Struthio camelus: one gene and its partner. The protein of the gene in region 1 interacts with the protein of each later gene in a biochemical or structural test. Links are inferred from orthologs where the notes say so. Each region holds a gene or a part of one and is shown in the gene's direction. Other genes may lie near its edges.

Region 1 (6,545 bases):
CAATCACATACAAAACCCTGAAGTTTATTTGTCTGCTTGTTTTTTAATGATTTTTTTTTAATTCCCTGAAAGGCAGGGTGGTCCTGTGATCAGCTCAATGCATTTGTACTCCAAGAACTTAGAACTGGGTATCTGTTGTGCCACAGCCTTCTTATGAAATTGTATGCAAACTGTTGCACAAGTTCTTTGCATCTTGGATTCTTGGAGCTGCCATAAAACTATCCCATTTCATCTCATCTGGGAAATTCAGATTTTAAGTTCTTTAGAGAGGGGTCATTTCTTCTAAGCTGCTTATATTCCTCTTAGCACAGTGGGACTTGCATATCCATAGGGGTCCATACGTTTTGAATGACAGATGAATAACAAACAGGAACAATTTGGGGAAATGTACTTTTTCCAGCTTTTCAGGGATTTTGTCTAACCCAAATAAAGACCTTTTTCTGAACAACGCGAGCATGAATTAAACAGCACAGACTAAGAAAAAGGCCATGCATTAGAGTGTGTTCATCACTCTCACTCTGCTTCCCTACTCAGGTTTCAAAAAACTCAGGAAGTTGGGGTGAAAAAATACAAGAGACAAGGTAAGCAGTGAAAACACGTGAAAGCACTAAACTGAATTGGCAGGCAAAGCAGTCAAATTTTAGGATAGAAAGCTCACACTTACTAGGAAGCCAATGAAACAAGCACCCCCTCACTTGGTCAGGAAGCAAAGCTCTCAGTCATTTGCTCAGTCATTAGCTGACTCACTTCTCCCCTCTGGCAGTTTCACATATTCAGACTCCAGCAACACCTCTGGGACATGCCAAATTGTTTAGCCTTTCCTACCACCTTATTTCAGCCTCTCTTCATGCCCTGTAGTTCTGTCTTTCACAGGAGCTCGCTGGTTCGTACTGAAACTAAAACTCTGCAGAATCCTCAGGTATCTGACACCCTGCACGCTCCCGCTCAGGCAGAGTAATTCCCTAACGAAATCACATCCCTGCTGTGTGACGAGTTTTGTTAGGGCCTTCAGCTGGAATGGGATAATGCAAAGGACCTGCTGTTTCCTTGCTGCTCTTATGCAAACTTATTTTCAGCCAGATTGTGTATATGATTAGATCCACTAAAACGGGATCACTTTATTCTAAACAGAGACAATGGATATATCACAATTCAGTTACACAGCCGAAAACCTGGGACTTAGGACAAGTCTGTAAGTGTGGCAATGAAAGTAGAATAGATAAGATACACATATCCAAACTTGTGCTTTAATATTCAGGGACTTACAGGACTCATGAGTGAAGTCTTTGGGCATTCGAGCAGGTAAAAATAGAGCAACAATGTCTTTTGATCCTTCTTCTGTTTCTGCTCCAGTATGGACCTCTGAGTATTCCACTCTCTGCAAAATTGCTCTACCCGTTCATTAATTTTGTGCATCTGAGAAAAACTTCTAAGGGAAAGCAGAGAAGGAGGAATAAATTCCACATTTAGGTCTGAAGCAGGATTATTCAATACAAGAGTGAGCGCAGCTGCCATGTCGACACACCTAGACCTCCCCTGCTCTCTGCTTCCAGATAATGTAACTTAGGGCACACGCTGCCTAAAGCCTGCATCTGTGCTCATTCTTAGATTCATGACTGTTCACCAGCTTCAGCAGAAATTCTCCATCTTTGGCTCCCTTTCCTATCAGCTATTCAGTTTTCTCACTAGCAGCTGCTTATGGTTATGGAAAGAAATTTCTTCTCACTGGAAGCAAGGCCTGGACAGAAACACTTTTTTGTACTTCAAATGCAGTGAGAGGCAGCACAGAAAGCAGAGCACCGGTGTGGTATGTTCCTTCCTGTCTGCACACACTGGAACCATTTTAGTACAATGAAATGCAAGATTTTAAAAGACTGCTAAGGCACTGAGGTGCCAACTTCTTCACTACACTACTTGAGAGCAATTCACACGGTTGCTGGGTGAAGAAACAGAGCAATAAGATCACACTTTTCTTTCTGCGGTGACAGAATGGGCAAGTGCTAAGAAGCAGATTACTGAGCAGAGCCATAGCAGTGCTTGGAAGAGCTGGTCCCTGTACTGAGCACATTTCCCATCTCTGAAATCAGACGCAGTACTGTAAGCAAATCCCTGAACTTGTCTGCACAGATGCAGAGGTCTGCCCGTGAGGAGCAGCTGTTTCCAGACCGTTCCAGTGTGGGCTCAAGTCCTCTCTCCGAGTTCAGAGGTCTTGCTCATAAACTCTTCCAAGCAAGGATCTCGTCTTCTCTGCACAATTAAATGCGCAGCGCCACATGGGGGAGCTGGTGCTGTGACTAAAGCCCTTCGCTTCCCCACCAGGAGAGAAAGACAGCTCAGCAGCACTAGCAACTTCAGCCACTGGAAACGATTCTGAAAGGCTGGTTGAAAATCATAACATATAAATACATAGTGAGCACACATTTTAATAGCGATGTTCCTTTTCAAAATTATATTCTGTTTGCTGAATCTTGAGGGCATCTTCGGTGTTGCAGAGCACTTTTTACTGTGATTATGCGTTCACAAGCCTAAATTTATTTTCAAATAAAAACTGAGGTTCTCCTATAATCAGAAAATTCTAGGAACAGAAAAATTAGTTGCAGCAGGAAATAGTGCAAGACTGGAAATAAAAGTATGGAGGTGACAGTTACTGATTCTGCCTTGAAAAAGCAGCCAAACCCAGTAACACATGAACCTTAGCAACTTCGGGTTGCTCTTAGCTTGATAGATTGAATAAAATGCAACTACTATATTAAAAAGGCACAAGCAAAACAAACTGAGTAATGGGGATCAGTCGTAACCATTTACTGAGATGACTTACGTAGTTAACAACCAGTCTTCAGATAACTTTACTCCTTGCTGAGCCATGTTTGGCTGTGAAACCATCTTGACAGCTGAAGTAATAGCAGGTATGCAAGCAAACCAAAAAGCAGGTAAGGCGCCTCATCTTATTCAGCAAATAGATGGACCTGAAGTCTATTTGAAAACCATTAAAATCATGATCATGCTGTAGAGACAAAACCAATGTTAAAAGTCATTTCCCAGGTTACTCAGAAAATAAGCAGTTTGGTAACCTGGAGATATGAAAAACGTCAATCTAAACCCAAAGAAATAGTTTGAAAGCAGTTTGTAAGTATGAAGAAGGTAACTGACCTGACAGAAGATTGGCCATCTGAAAAGGGAAACGGGACAGAGATGGTCCACTCCTGAGCTGCGGGCTTCCTGAGGGGTAGTCAAAGTCCCCTCACAAAGCATCCTGCTGCCTTGTGCGCCTCGGCATCTTCCAGTTCGGGCAGTTTAGACCAAAGAAAGTGAGGAATAAGCAGCACGCTGCTATGACAGAGTGGAGAGGCAGGTTCACAAACACCTGTCGGCAGGGGGTTCGCACCCCGCTCTTTTTGCAGGTCTGGCTGTACACCTGAACTGTATAGCAGGGCGGCAGCTTTCCCTCCGGCAGGCAAAGACGTCTCCTCACAGACATTTCATAGTGAAGGACACAGAAAAACAGCACCGCTCCCCAGTTTCGGGGCTCCCACGTAGCTGAGTGTCCCAAGGACGCGAGACGTGGCGGGGCCGGCAAAGAGGGGGACGGGCTGCCCCTCCTGAGCTCACCCTGCTCCTTCCTGAAGGCGCTGGCCTGAAACGCGCGGGGACGGGGGAGTCGGGAGAGGAAAACGTGCCAAAAGAGGCGAGATGCCTCGGCAGCGTGGAGAACCTGGCAGGACAGCTGCTCTGACAAACAAGCCCTGGCTAAGGGGGCTGACAGCAGGAGGCAGCGCGACCTGAGCGGGGCAGCGAAATCACGGCCAGAGGAGCCCTTCCCCGCTCGCAGCCCCCCGCCCCCCTCCCGGCCGGGGGGCCGGAGGGCCGGGGGGCCGCGGAGCCGGGGCGGTGCCGCCGCGGCCGCATAAGAGGCGCGGGGCGGCGCAGCGCGGCGCTGCCGGCGGGAGCGCGGAGCTTGCGCGGAGCATGCAGGCGACGGCGGCGCCCGGGGGCCCGGCCCCCTCCCGGCCCTTCAAGCTGCGGAAGAGCTTCGGTAAGGGGAGAGCTGGGGGCGCCGGGGGGCCTGCGCGGGGCGCTGGGGGCTGCGCACACGCGTAACGCTCGTTTTCTCTCTTGCGCAGCGACTAGGCTGGAAGAAGTCGCTGGGATCCGGGCGAAGTTCCCAACAAAAATCCCGGTAAATCTCTCTGTTTTGCTAGCAAAGGTTGTTGTTGGTTTTTTTTTTTTTAAGAGAAATGCTGAAAACTTTTTTTTTTCTTAAATGCTGGTAGGGAGGAGGGGGAAAAGGAACTAAATATTTTAGGGATTTTTCTGAGTGTGACTCTAATTAAAACAGGTGATTGTTGAAAGGTACCATAAGGAAAAATACCTTCCTCTCTTGGACAAAACCAAGTTTCTTGTTCCTGAGGAGCTGACCATGACACAGTTTATAACCATCATTAGGTAAGTTGTGAACACCTGGCTAGCAAGTGGCACTACGTAGGTGGGGCTGGGGGCTGCTCCTGGGTTCTGTGGCAGGTCTTCAAGCAGATTTTTTTAGCACTCTGCTGTAAAAAAACTTATTTACTTTCTTTGTATTGGAGGAAAGCATAAAGGTCTCTGTAATGGCTTCCTTCTCCTGCAGGAGTATGAAGAAAGTCCACAGATATTTTCTCAGGTGGATTTGGGGAAGAACCTGGTCTATGCTTTTGGATGTATAAAGCCTTCCCTCTTAACTGTAGGGCATAAGGATTGTATCAGACTCCTGTTTTGCTCTGTCTCTATTTGAAGAACTTACAAGTGCTACTACAGCTCTATGGTTCTGTTCTCCTCCTTGCTCTGTTGTTGGCTTGCTTTTTTTTTTACTGTAGCTTACTGGATTTGCTCAAGCTTATAACAGTTCACAGGTGTGAGCGGCATGAGCTCTAATGTTTCTAAATTGCTCTTCACAAAAACACTATAGGGAAGAAATCTCTGTCTCTGGCAAAGTGCTGAAAATCACATAGCTTTTATATGGTGTTTCTGTAAAGTACAGAAGAGCTTTCTAGATATCTGAACTTCTACAAAAGATGCACAACTTGGGGTCCTGATCCTCATATTAAGCAGCTCTGAGGAGGACTCCTCTTTCAAAGACTGAAATGTTAAAATAGCTAGGATTTCAGAGTATGCTGAAATATTTCATTATAGCAATGCTACAGAAGCTTTTGGTTTCCACTCAGTGCTTCTCTTCAGTAACTGGGAACAAAGGCTAGACTCAGTAGCAGTCATGGTTTAACAATTTGATTTAAGCCTCCTCCTCCTCAGAGCATAAGCCTTCTAGCTTCCAAACCTACAGCTAACTTCCTGCTGATGAGAGATGTTAAACCACAAAGGACTTTATACAGTGTTTCTTAGATGTAGTTCATGTTACTGGTCTGTGTAATGTATTTCAAGGACTAACAATGAAACCTTCTCGAATTTGCTAATACTTAATCCTCTTTTTCCTTCTTCCATCTTAACTTAGAAGCAGAATGGCTTTAACTGCTACACAAGCTTTCTACCTGCTGGTGAACAACAAAAGCCTAGCCAGTATGTCTCTGACAATGGCAGAAGTGTACAGGGACTACAAAGATGAAGATGGCTTTGTGTATATGACATATGCTTCCCAGGAGATGTTTGGATGCCTCTTACCCGCTGCTCAAGGGAAAACTATGGAATGCCTTCAAAAAACCTAAGGTGGTGGTGTCCACTTGCTGTGGCTAAGCAGCTGTGCTATGAATCACGCCAGTGACATGAAGCTTGGAGATGCTCCTTCTAATACGAGTTCTTGAGCTCTGTACTGGGGAGTAATGACCCAGAGATCAGCAGGACCAGCTTGAGGCAGAAATGGTGGTACACTCTACTAGATAATAGTTTGGATATATATTTTATATTTAAAGACACTAAAGGTTTTTGAAACTGCACCTCCACTTTTCTTTGCAATACCAACCTTTGTTTTGTAACTGCTTTTTAAGATGTCCTTAAAGCCTAAGCCTAAGAGTAAAATAAAGACACTTTTAAATATTGGGTTGAATGTTAGTGTTACTCTAGAGGAAAAACTGTAGAAGACTACCAGAATTATTCTATGAACTTTAATCTTTTGAGCTCGGTGCCCCTTAAAAATGAAGGATTGCTTGTACAGCAACTCTGTGCATTTCTGAATGGGACAGTGAAGCTTAAGTTTGGTCACATAGGAGCAGAACCATATTTATAAACAGTTCAAGCTTGGTATCTGACCTGCAAGTAGAAAGCAGACTCTACTAGTGCTAAAGCAGAGTTCAAACGCAGTGTAGTTTAATACCTAGTAAACTACTACTGTCATGTGTTATTGAAACTGCTGTGATTGTCTATGATAAAGTAACTTCTGGTTTAAATATGCAAAACTGATTGGTAGTCAGTATAACCAAAATGCAGATAGCATGACTTGAACTCTAGTGTAATCAACTGTTCAAGAGTCTGCTCTTACTACTGAATTCTGCTAGTCTGGTCTAAATAGATGGGTAGTCTGTCCTTCCCTTAGAGGCACACCTGTGTCTTCCTCTGAAACT
Region 2 (7,938 bases), on another chromosome or scaffold:
GCGCGTGCGGGGTAGCGGAGGGCACTAAGGGTATCGTGGGGTTCAGTGTGGGGGCACGAGTGGGACTGTTGTAGGAAGAAATAGGGGAAAGGGAGGGAGCACAGAGGAGCCGAGAGGGACCTGGGAGGCTATGGTAGCCAAGGGGCAGAAAGCACGTGGAGAAGGGGGCAGGGCTGCGAGAAGCACCAGGCATGTGATGAAGAGCTGGGATATTTTGTTTGATGAAGAGCATAAGGTGCTCATGACTTAAGAGTAAATGTTTTCCTATAGATTTAAGTCTGGTGTTTCCTAGAAAACACCAACCTATTTGTTAAAATGCACGATGTGTAAATGAGCCTGACCTGATACCTTCTGAAGTGGATGTTTATTCTATTTGCTGTCAAAGAAGCTGTACGAGGTCCCTAATATAACACATCTTATTTATGTGATGTTTATGAATGTTTGTAAAGTACACATTTGGAATTTATATTTTGTTATTAGTAATACCTCCTAGAAATTCAGACATGATCTTTGCAGATAGTAACTTTTGTCCTTCTCAGTTTGTGCTTTATTATGAATTCTGTCTTAACTGAGGTAGGATTGACGTTTTGGAATTTGTTCGTACCTATATTTAGGGGCTTGGACTTAGTGGTTATACAGCACCGATACTTCTCCAGGCCATAATGATTCCTGATTCTATTGCAGTATAAATAATTATAGTTGTTGTAATATAAATTCTTCTATTTGCTTACGAAATTACATTTTAATACAAAATAATTAGAGCACTCAAATACTAAGTACGGTCTTCATTCATCCTTTTGTCTAAGGAACTGTACTTGATGTTGATGCCAGTTCTGCAGAGAAGTGAATGCATGCTGGTAAAATGGTGAAGTGGATGAGCTACTTAAAAGGAAGAAGAGTAATTCAGTAAGTTTTTATCCAGTCTTAAGAATTTTAGTAAATTCTTAGTAAATTCTGCATCAAACCTTTTCTTACAACACCACCAAGAAGGTGAGCAAGTATAGTTCCACTCTTGGAAGAAATCATGGGAATACTAGGGCAGAATGTCTGCAACTGCCTCATCTCCATGTTGTCTAGACACAAGCAATCTAATAGTATATTCATGCCTCCAGAACATCTAGACTTGCCTTTATTAGAAAGCCTGAATTAGACAGTAGGAGATTGTTTTCCCTTTCAAAATTCCTTTGCTAGTGGCTAGGTACAGTATTGTAATAAATACTGAATCAGTATTATATTTCACAGCAAGGTTCCCAAATTGACATTGCAGGGGAAAGGTGAGATGATGTTATTTATTCCAGGCTAAAAATACCATTTGGAAGGACAAGAGATTAATAAAATCATCTTGAAAAATACTACAGCATCTATGCTGTTTTCCTATTGACATTTTATTTTCAGCATGAAAGCATTCTGGCAGTTGCAGAAGTTTCAGTTGTGCCTTGTTCAAGTGAGAAAGGCATGGAACTAGTCCATATTTTTTGGCACTGCCCTCCTCACTAGCCTATAAAGCCAGGTTATCTCACTTTTTCTATTTATTTTCTAGTCATCTTGGCTTCCTTCAAACTGTTCTGTCTTCAGCAGTAGAGATGGAGGATGCTCCTGTTCCCTTCTTCCTCAATTATCTGGTGGACAGGGTATTTTGTAGAAGTGGAGACTGCGGTAGTAAATCACTTGGAGGTGCTAACCTCTAAATCTGCTTTTCTTGGACAAGCTGGACAAGTAAATCCCTTGGACAAGAGATTTATGAAGGGGGCATTGTGCTTAACCAACTGGATAGTCCTCTGTGGCAAGATGACTGCCTTGGTGGGTGAGGGGAGACCAATGGATGTTGTTTATCTCGGTGTCAAAAACCTCTCTAAAGCTGTCTCCCATAACACCTCACAGAAAAGCTGAAGAAGTATGGGCCAGGTAAGTAGACAGTGAGGTGGACTGAAAACTGGCCAAGCTGCCAGACTCAGAGGGTTGTGATCAGCATCACAAAGTCCAGCTGAAGATCAGTCCCTGCTGGTGACCCCCCGGGGTTGACACTAGATCCGATACTGTTTAGCCTCTTCATTAACGACCTGGATGACCGACTGAATGCACCCATTAAGAGACCTCAGTAGGTTAGAGAAATGGGCAGAGAGGGACCTCATGAAGTTCAACAAAGGGAAGTGTGAAGTCCTGCCCCTAGGGAGGAATAACCCCATTCACCAGTACATGCTGGGGCCAACTGGCTGGAAAGCTGCTTGGCAGAGAAGGACCTGGGGTTCCTCTTGCATCAAAGAAGGCCAACAGCCTCCTGGGCTGCATTAGGCAGAGCATTGTCAGCAGGTTGAGGGAGGTGATCCTTCCCATCTACTCAGCACTGATGAGACCACTTCTGCAGTGCTATGTCCAGTTCTGGGTTCCCCAGTGCAAGAAAGACATGGAGCTACTGGAGCAAGTCCAACAAAGGGCCGTGGAGCTGAGGAAGGAATTGGAGTATCTCTTGTATGAGGAGAGGCTGAGAGAACTAGGCCTGTTCAGCCTGCAGAAGAGAAGGCTCAGGGGGCATCTCATCAATGTGTATAAGTATCTGAAGGGGAGGGTGTTAAGAGGACAGGGTCAGGCTCTTCTCCTTGGTGCCCAGTGACAGGACTAGAAGCAATGGGCACAAACTGGAAAAATCCACTTAAACATAAGAAGAAACTTTTTCAGTGTGAGGGTGGTTGAACACAGGAGCAAGTTGCCCAGGGAGGCTGTGGAGTCTCCAGCCTCGGAGCTAGTCAAAACCTGACTAGACATGGTCCTGGGCAATGTGCTTTAGGTGACCCTGCTTGAGCAGGTGGGTCAGATGATCTCCAGAGGTCTCTTCTGACCCCAACCATTCTGTGAATCTGTGAAGTTTTCTTTAGACCTGTTCCTTTCAACTGCTGTTGAAGGGGGAGTGGAAGATTAGGCTGTTCAGCTTAACTTTTTCCAGAAAAAGAGCTACAAGTGTGGCTGTGACGTGGAACACCTGTTGGCTCGCTTTCTTTGTGTCTTGCTCTGACCACTACCACATAGTAACCGTATTTTTGTATGACTGTGGCTTGAGAGGGAAGGGGGGCTGGAAAAATCCTGCCTTCTCCGAAATAGTCAGAACAAAATATTGTCTTAAAGATGTGTATTAAAGGATGTGGAGACAGTCCCTGCATTCCAGGTGTGTCATAACCAAACGGGGTGTCAGGCTACCCTTCACTGGGTGAAACTGGTGAAATGTAAATAATAAAAAATTGGTCAGGTGGGTATAGCCAAATAGCCTGTAAAACAAAGCTGGAAACTAGCCACGTATCTACCTATCCTCTCTTGACCTAGAAACGGGAGAGTGGAAGTCCTGCAGGGTTCCTCCCCACCATTTTCTAATACACTTGTACTGTACTGAGTTTGAGGTATCCGCTGGTTCCTGTGTGCATTTTTGGTGTCTCCTGCAAACAGTTGTCTGTCGTATGGACATATTTGGAAGTACTGCTGGTGGGCCACTCGGGCTTATAAACTGATATTTGAAGAGCTCTGCATTAACCTGCTGTGTAAAGGAAAATGTACTATTGCAGTTTTAACTTATTTAAAAAAACAAACAAACTGCAAAGGTTATATGGTGGCATGTGCTTTGTTTTATGGGTTCATTTAATCTTGCCACTGTGCATGTATCCTGACTGTAGTGAGTCAACTGGATTGGACTGACTCGGGCAAAATGGTGGGTTTTGGTAGCACTGGGACTTGAGTCACTTAAAATTTCCTTGCTAATGCACATTGAGATGAAACTAGTGTGTGGTTTTTCTGTTTTATTTTTGTTATGCATCTAAAATCTGCTTAAAGTGAAGCTAGAATATCCCAGTACCTTTACAGATCTTACCCAAGTTTTTTACTTCCATTAATACAGGAACTGGCTTGAACGTTTAAGCTTTTCTTGTATTGACTTGACTGGGTCTACTTGGATGCTCTGCAAGTTAGCATCTGAACTCACGATGTAAACAGCATGAGATTTAAAGCTGTAATGGGGAGAGATTGCAGATAACTGTCACACAGTACTCAGCAGCCTAAACCCTCTTGAATAATTACATAATTGCTTCCTACAGTTTCGTAGGATAACTCATATGCTTCGGCATTAAAAACAGTCGACTGCCAGCGTTACTCATCTCCAAGCCGTGCTGTGAGCCGGGAGCCAGCCTCGGAAAGCGGCTCCCGCTCCCTGCGGGACTGACTACGGCCTTCCTGCCCCCTCTGCTCGGGAGCCGCTTGCCCATAGAAGAAAGGATATAACTTCCTGAGGGGGGGGGGGTGGAAGCAGCTTCGCGCCGGCCTGCGGCTGCCCCTCGGCCGCAACCCTGTCCGCTTGCGCAGATGAGGAAGAAAAGCACAGGCTGCCGGCTGCCCGGAGCCGGGCGGTGAGGCGACTGCGCTGGGGTGGGGGGGACACGGCCGTCCCTCGCCCCCCGGCTTTCCGGCCCGGCTCTCGGTTTGGCCTGGTCGGGCCGGGCCGGCCCCTCCTGCCGCCCCTCCGCGGAGGCCGTGGGGAAGACTACGTCTCCCGGCGCGCCCCGCGGGGCACCGCCGCGCGGAGCATGCCGGGAGCGCGGGGCCTCGGGCCGGCATGCGCCGCCGCCTGCATGTCGGTTCCCCCCTCCCGCGGGCGCCATGCCGCCCGCTACTTCCCGTGAGGCGCACCCTCCCTCCCCGGCCCCGTGGTGGGCGGAGTCTCGGTCTCCTGCTGGCTGCCATGCTGGGTGACTTCCTTCCCAGCCAATCAGCATTTGTTATGGTACGGTTTGTAACCAATGAGAGGGGCGAGAGGGCGGGCCCCCACCGGCAGGCGGGTAGGCAGCGGTAGTGGCGTTTGGCTGAGAAGCCGGGAGCGGCCGCGGCCGAGGGAGGGCGCGAGCCCCACTTAAAGGGCCAGCGAGTTTGGCGGAAAGTTGCGCGGAGTTCCGCGGGCCCAGCCCGCCGCTGGCCAGGGCCGTCCGCGAGCCGCGCCGGGCGGCGGCGGGGGCGCCGGGAGCCGGCGGCACCATCATGGAGCAGGCAGCGCCCAAAAGGTAACGACCCTCGCGTGCCGCTCCTGCCCCTCCCGGAAGCGAGCGCGGCGGTACCGTCGGTACGGGGCGGGGGGGAGGCGGCCGGGCGCGGCCTTGGCCCGGCGCGGGGCCCGGCGGGAGCGGAGCCCTGGGCGCTGGGAGGGGGCGTGGTGCGCGGGCAGGGCCGGCGGCGGCGGCGGCGCGGGCCCCGCTCGGCCCCTCGGCGGGCTGGGGCGCGGGGACAATGGGGGCGCGGCGGCTGCGCGGCGTCCCGTCGTTGTAGCGGGCTCTGGGCCGCGGAGGGGCGGCCCGGCTGCCGCCGCGGGCCGCGGCGGTGCTCCGCACCGGGTAACTGCTAGCGCGCGGTAGCGCTCCCGAAATCGTCGTCCTGAGTACGCGTCCGAGCGACCCTCGGGGGATGCGAGCGCTGACTTGAGTTAGAAGAGGAAAACTTTAACGGGGAGTGAGTGAGCCTGGAGCTAGAGAGCGGCCCTTTTCGGCCTTAAAGTCTGCGTGCTATTTCATAGTTCAGGTCTAAGGGAGAAACCAGTAGAAGCAGTTCACGTCTTCCTGCGTTAGAAAGTGCCCTTCTGTCTTGCTGGTAGAGAGGTGTTTGTGGGGGTGGGAGTTGCATACTTGCAGTTGCAAATCAGGGAGTGGGAAGAGGCAAAACCGAGTTTCTTTCCCCCAGTGTATGCGTTGCTGTTTGGAATAACCATTCTTAGTAATCGGTCATGTTTTGGGATATTTAGAATATGAGTCTTTCTCAGGGCAAGAAAAAGTTTTTGCTTCTGAGTTTAAGCAGTGATGTGAACCCCTGAGCTTTTGCTTTAAAAATAGCACTGTGGTCTTCATACACAAAACTATTCTTCTTTAATTACATGGATAAACTTAAACTGGAAGAGTCCTTTCTTAGATGTAGTTAGATAGTATACTGAAAGTAGTTATATAGCATACATGTGTTCTTACCACTTTAGAACTCTAAAGAGTTCTAAATTCTTGCTTCCTGTTAATTTAGTGAAAAATCTAGAAACTGCACGGTATAAATTTATGCTGGAAGATAATAAATCCATTTTTACTTCCTACTTTATTTCTTGTGTCTTAATCTTTGGCTCCTGATTTGCAAGCCTGGTAGTGTGGCAACGACAGAAGCTGCATTGTGGTCAATATGAGAATAAAATTTTGTCTTCTCCAAGTTGAACATGTGAGAGAAGACACCTAGTATATGTTTAATTTGCCTTAAGGACTGATGATGAGCTTTATAATGTTTGGCCCTGTTTTGTTTTCAGTGTATTGAAGCTCCTAGCCCTGAGAGGGACATGCTGACCCCAATACATTGAGGAACATGGGTGGTAAAGAAATGCACGAGATAATTTTTAATTTGGAGATAAACGCAATGTGGAAGGAGCTAGATGAGATTCTATTGATAAATTCCATTTTTGCAAATGAACTCATGCTGGTGTTATTGACAATATTTCTTGCCAATATACTTTCTGCAGTCTTTGTTGACCTAGTTATGAGACTTTGAGAAGTACTGGCTTTAGCAGTCTTTTGCTTTTTGAACTATTTGACCGTTTTGGATATGTTTATCTTAGGCTTCTCAAGCTTTTCTTTGCCATTATGACAGCTAGAAACTGTCTTTGAAAATGAAGACTCATACTGTTTTCTGGTAGATACTGGCTCCTGTTTTTATGCTGAGGAGGACAGTAGATACTGCAGTGTTGCAGAAGAACTGCAAGAAGTAGTAAAATTTGAAGGACAACAGCCCTGATTTTCTTCTTGGTGAATATAACTATTAAACTATCTGTTTCCAGCCAACTAAATTTACCAGTGTTTAAGGTAAGGGAAAAGCAAGCAGAGACAGTATCGCTATTTAAAGCATTGAGGCTGCCTTTCTCTACCTCACTTGTAGTGAGAGAGCATGCTACTGCCAAGAGAGACAGTGCTGCAAAGTGGATTGTATTTTAGGCTTTTCTATATTCTTCTTTCTTTATATTTATTATTTATATAATTAATATTTATTCTATATTTAGGTTTTTCTTTATTCTTCTCCTCTGGACCTCACCTCTGGGCTTCTTTACTAACTAAGTTCTTCTAACTTTAACTACTAACTTCTTTACTGTGAGGGTGACGGAGCACTGGAACAGTATACAGCCTGCACCGTGTATCCCTTTTGTCTATTGTCTTTTGCAGTTTTTGAAGTGTTTTGTGGTGTTGCCAACTATTCTGCTAGGCTACATGCTTGTTCTACAAGTCTGGAAAGAATGCAGATTATTTTGTGAGTGATCTTTTTTTTTTTTTTTTTTTTTGGTCTAAGTACCTGCCATGGGTGCTGTGGTGCAAGAGAAGCACCATGTTTACCTGGCAAAATAGATATGATCATCAGATTTCTTTACTTACTGTGTCTTCTATCTACAGGATCAATTACTGAGAGGGACCTATATATGTCATATATATATATGGTGTATATATAGCATAAGATGCTTATTTAGAGGTAGCAAGAGTTTCAGATGAACGCTTCAAAGCTCCATAAGATCCTGGAATCCCAAAGTTCTTGTACTTGATAGAACACTTTTATTTCTCCTTCCTCTCTGAAGGAACATACCACTGATGCCAATGGACTGCCTCACAGAAATTTGGTGTAGACGCTTGCAAACCTTTAAGACAGGTTCTTCAGAAAATAGCAATGTGGCAGGCCAGGGTGTTGTAGGTGTGTGTTTTTTTTTTTTTTTTTTTAAATTGGAATGATTAGACAAGGAAAGTTAGTGGTTTTAACAGCAATGTACTGCAACAATAGCAAAAGACTTGTAAGAAGTCCTTTTCAGAATCATTTCATTTACTTTTTTTTAAGCAGAACACCTACCTCAAAGGTGAAGAATTTTTGCAGCAATGACATGAATTGTTTTCTTGCATCTGAATCTCTAAT

The links. The genes of interacting proteins can lie anywhere in the genome.
Region 2: the proteins of MAP1LC3C (region 1) and STK3 form a complex in vitro, tested with the Homo sapiens proteins (2 studies listed by BioGRID and IntAct). The link is inferred for Struthio camelus from reciprocal best matches to the Homo sapiens genes MAP1LC3C and STK3.

The regions. Positions count from the first base shown.
Region 1 is NC_090944.1:97,616,969-97,623,513, reverse strand, and holds MAP1LC3C (microtubule-associated proteins 1A/1B light chain 3C), read left to right. Parts: upstream 1-3,893; 5' UTR 3,894-3,966; coding exon 3,967-4,033; intron 4,034-4,121; coding exon 4,122-4,177; intron 4,178-4,336; coding exon 4,337-4,443; intron 4,444-5,482; coding exon 5,483-5,693; 3' UTR 5,694-6,025; downstream 6,026-6,545.
Region 2 is NC_090943.1:147,187,433-147,195,370, forward strand, and holds the start of STK3 (serine/threonine-protein kinase 3), read left to right. Parts: upstream 1-4,865; 5' UTR 4,866-5,010; coding exon 5,011-5,033; intron 5,034-5,073; exon of another isoform or gene 5,074-5,092; intron 5,093-5,254; exon of another isoform or gene 5,255-5,360; intron 5,361-5,517; exon of another isoform or gene 5,518-6,851; intron 6,852-7,938. UniProt on the Homo sapiens protein: Stress-activated, pro-apoptotic kinase which, following caspase-cleavage, enters the nucleus and induces chromatin condensation followed by internucleosomal DNA fragmentation.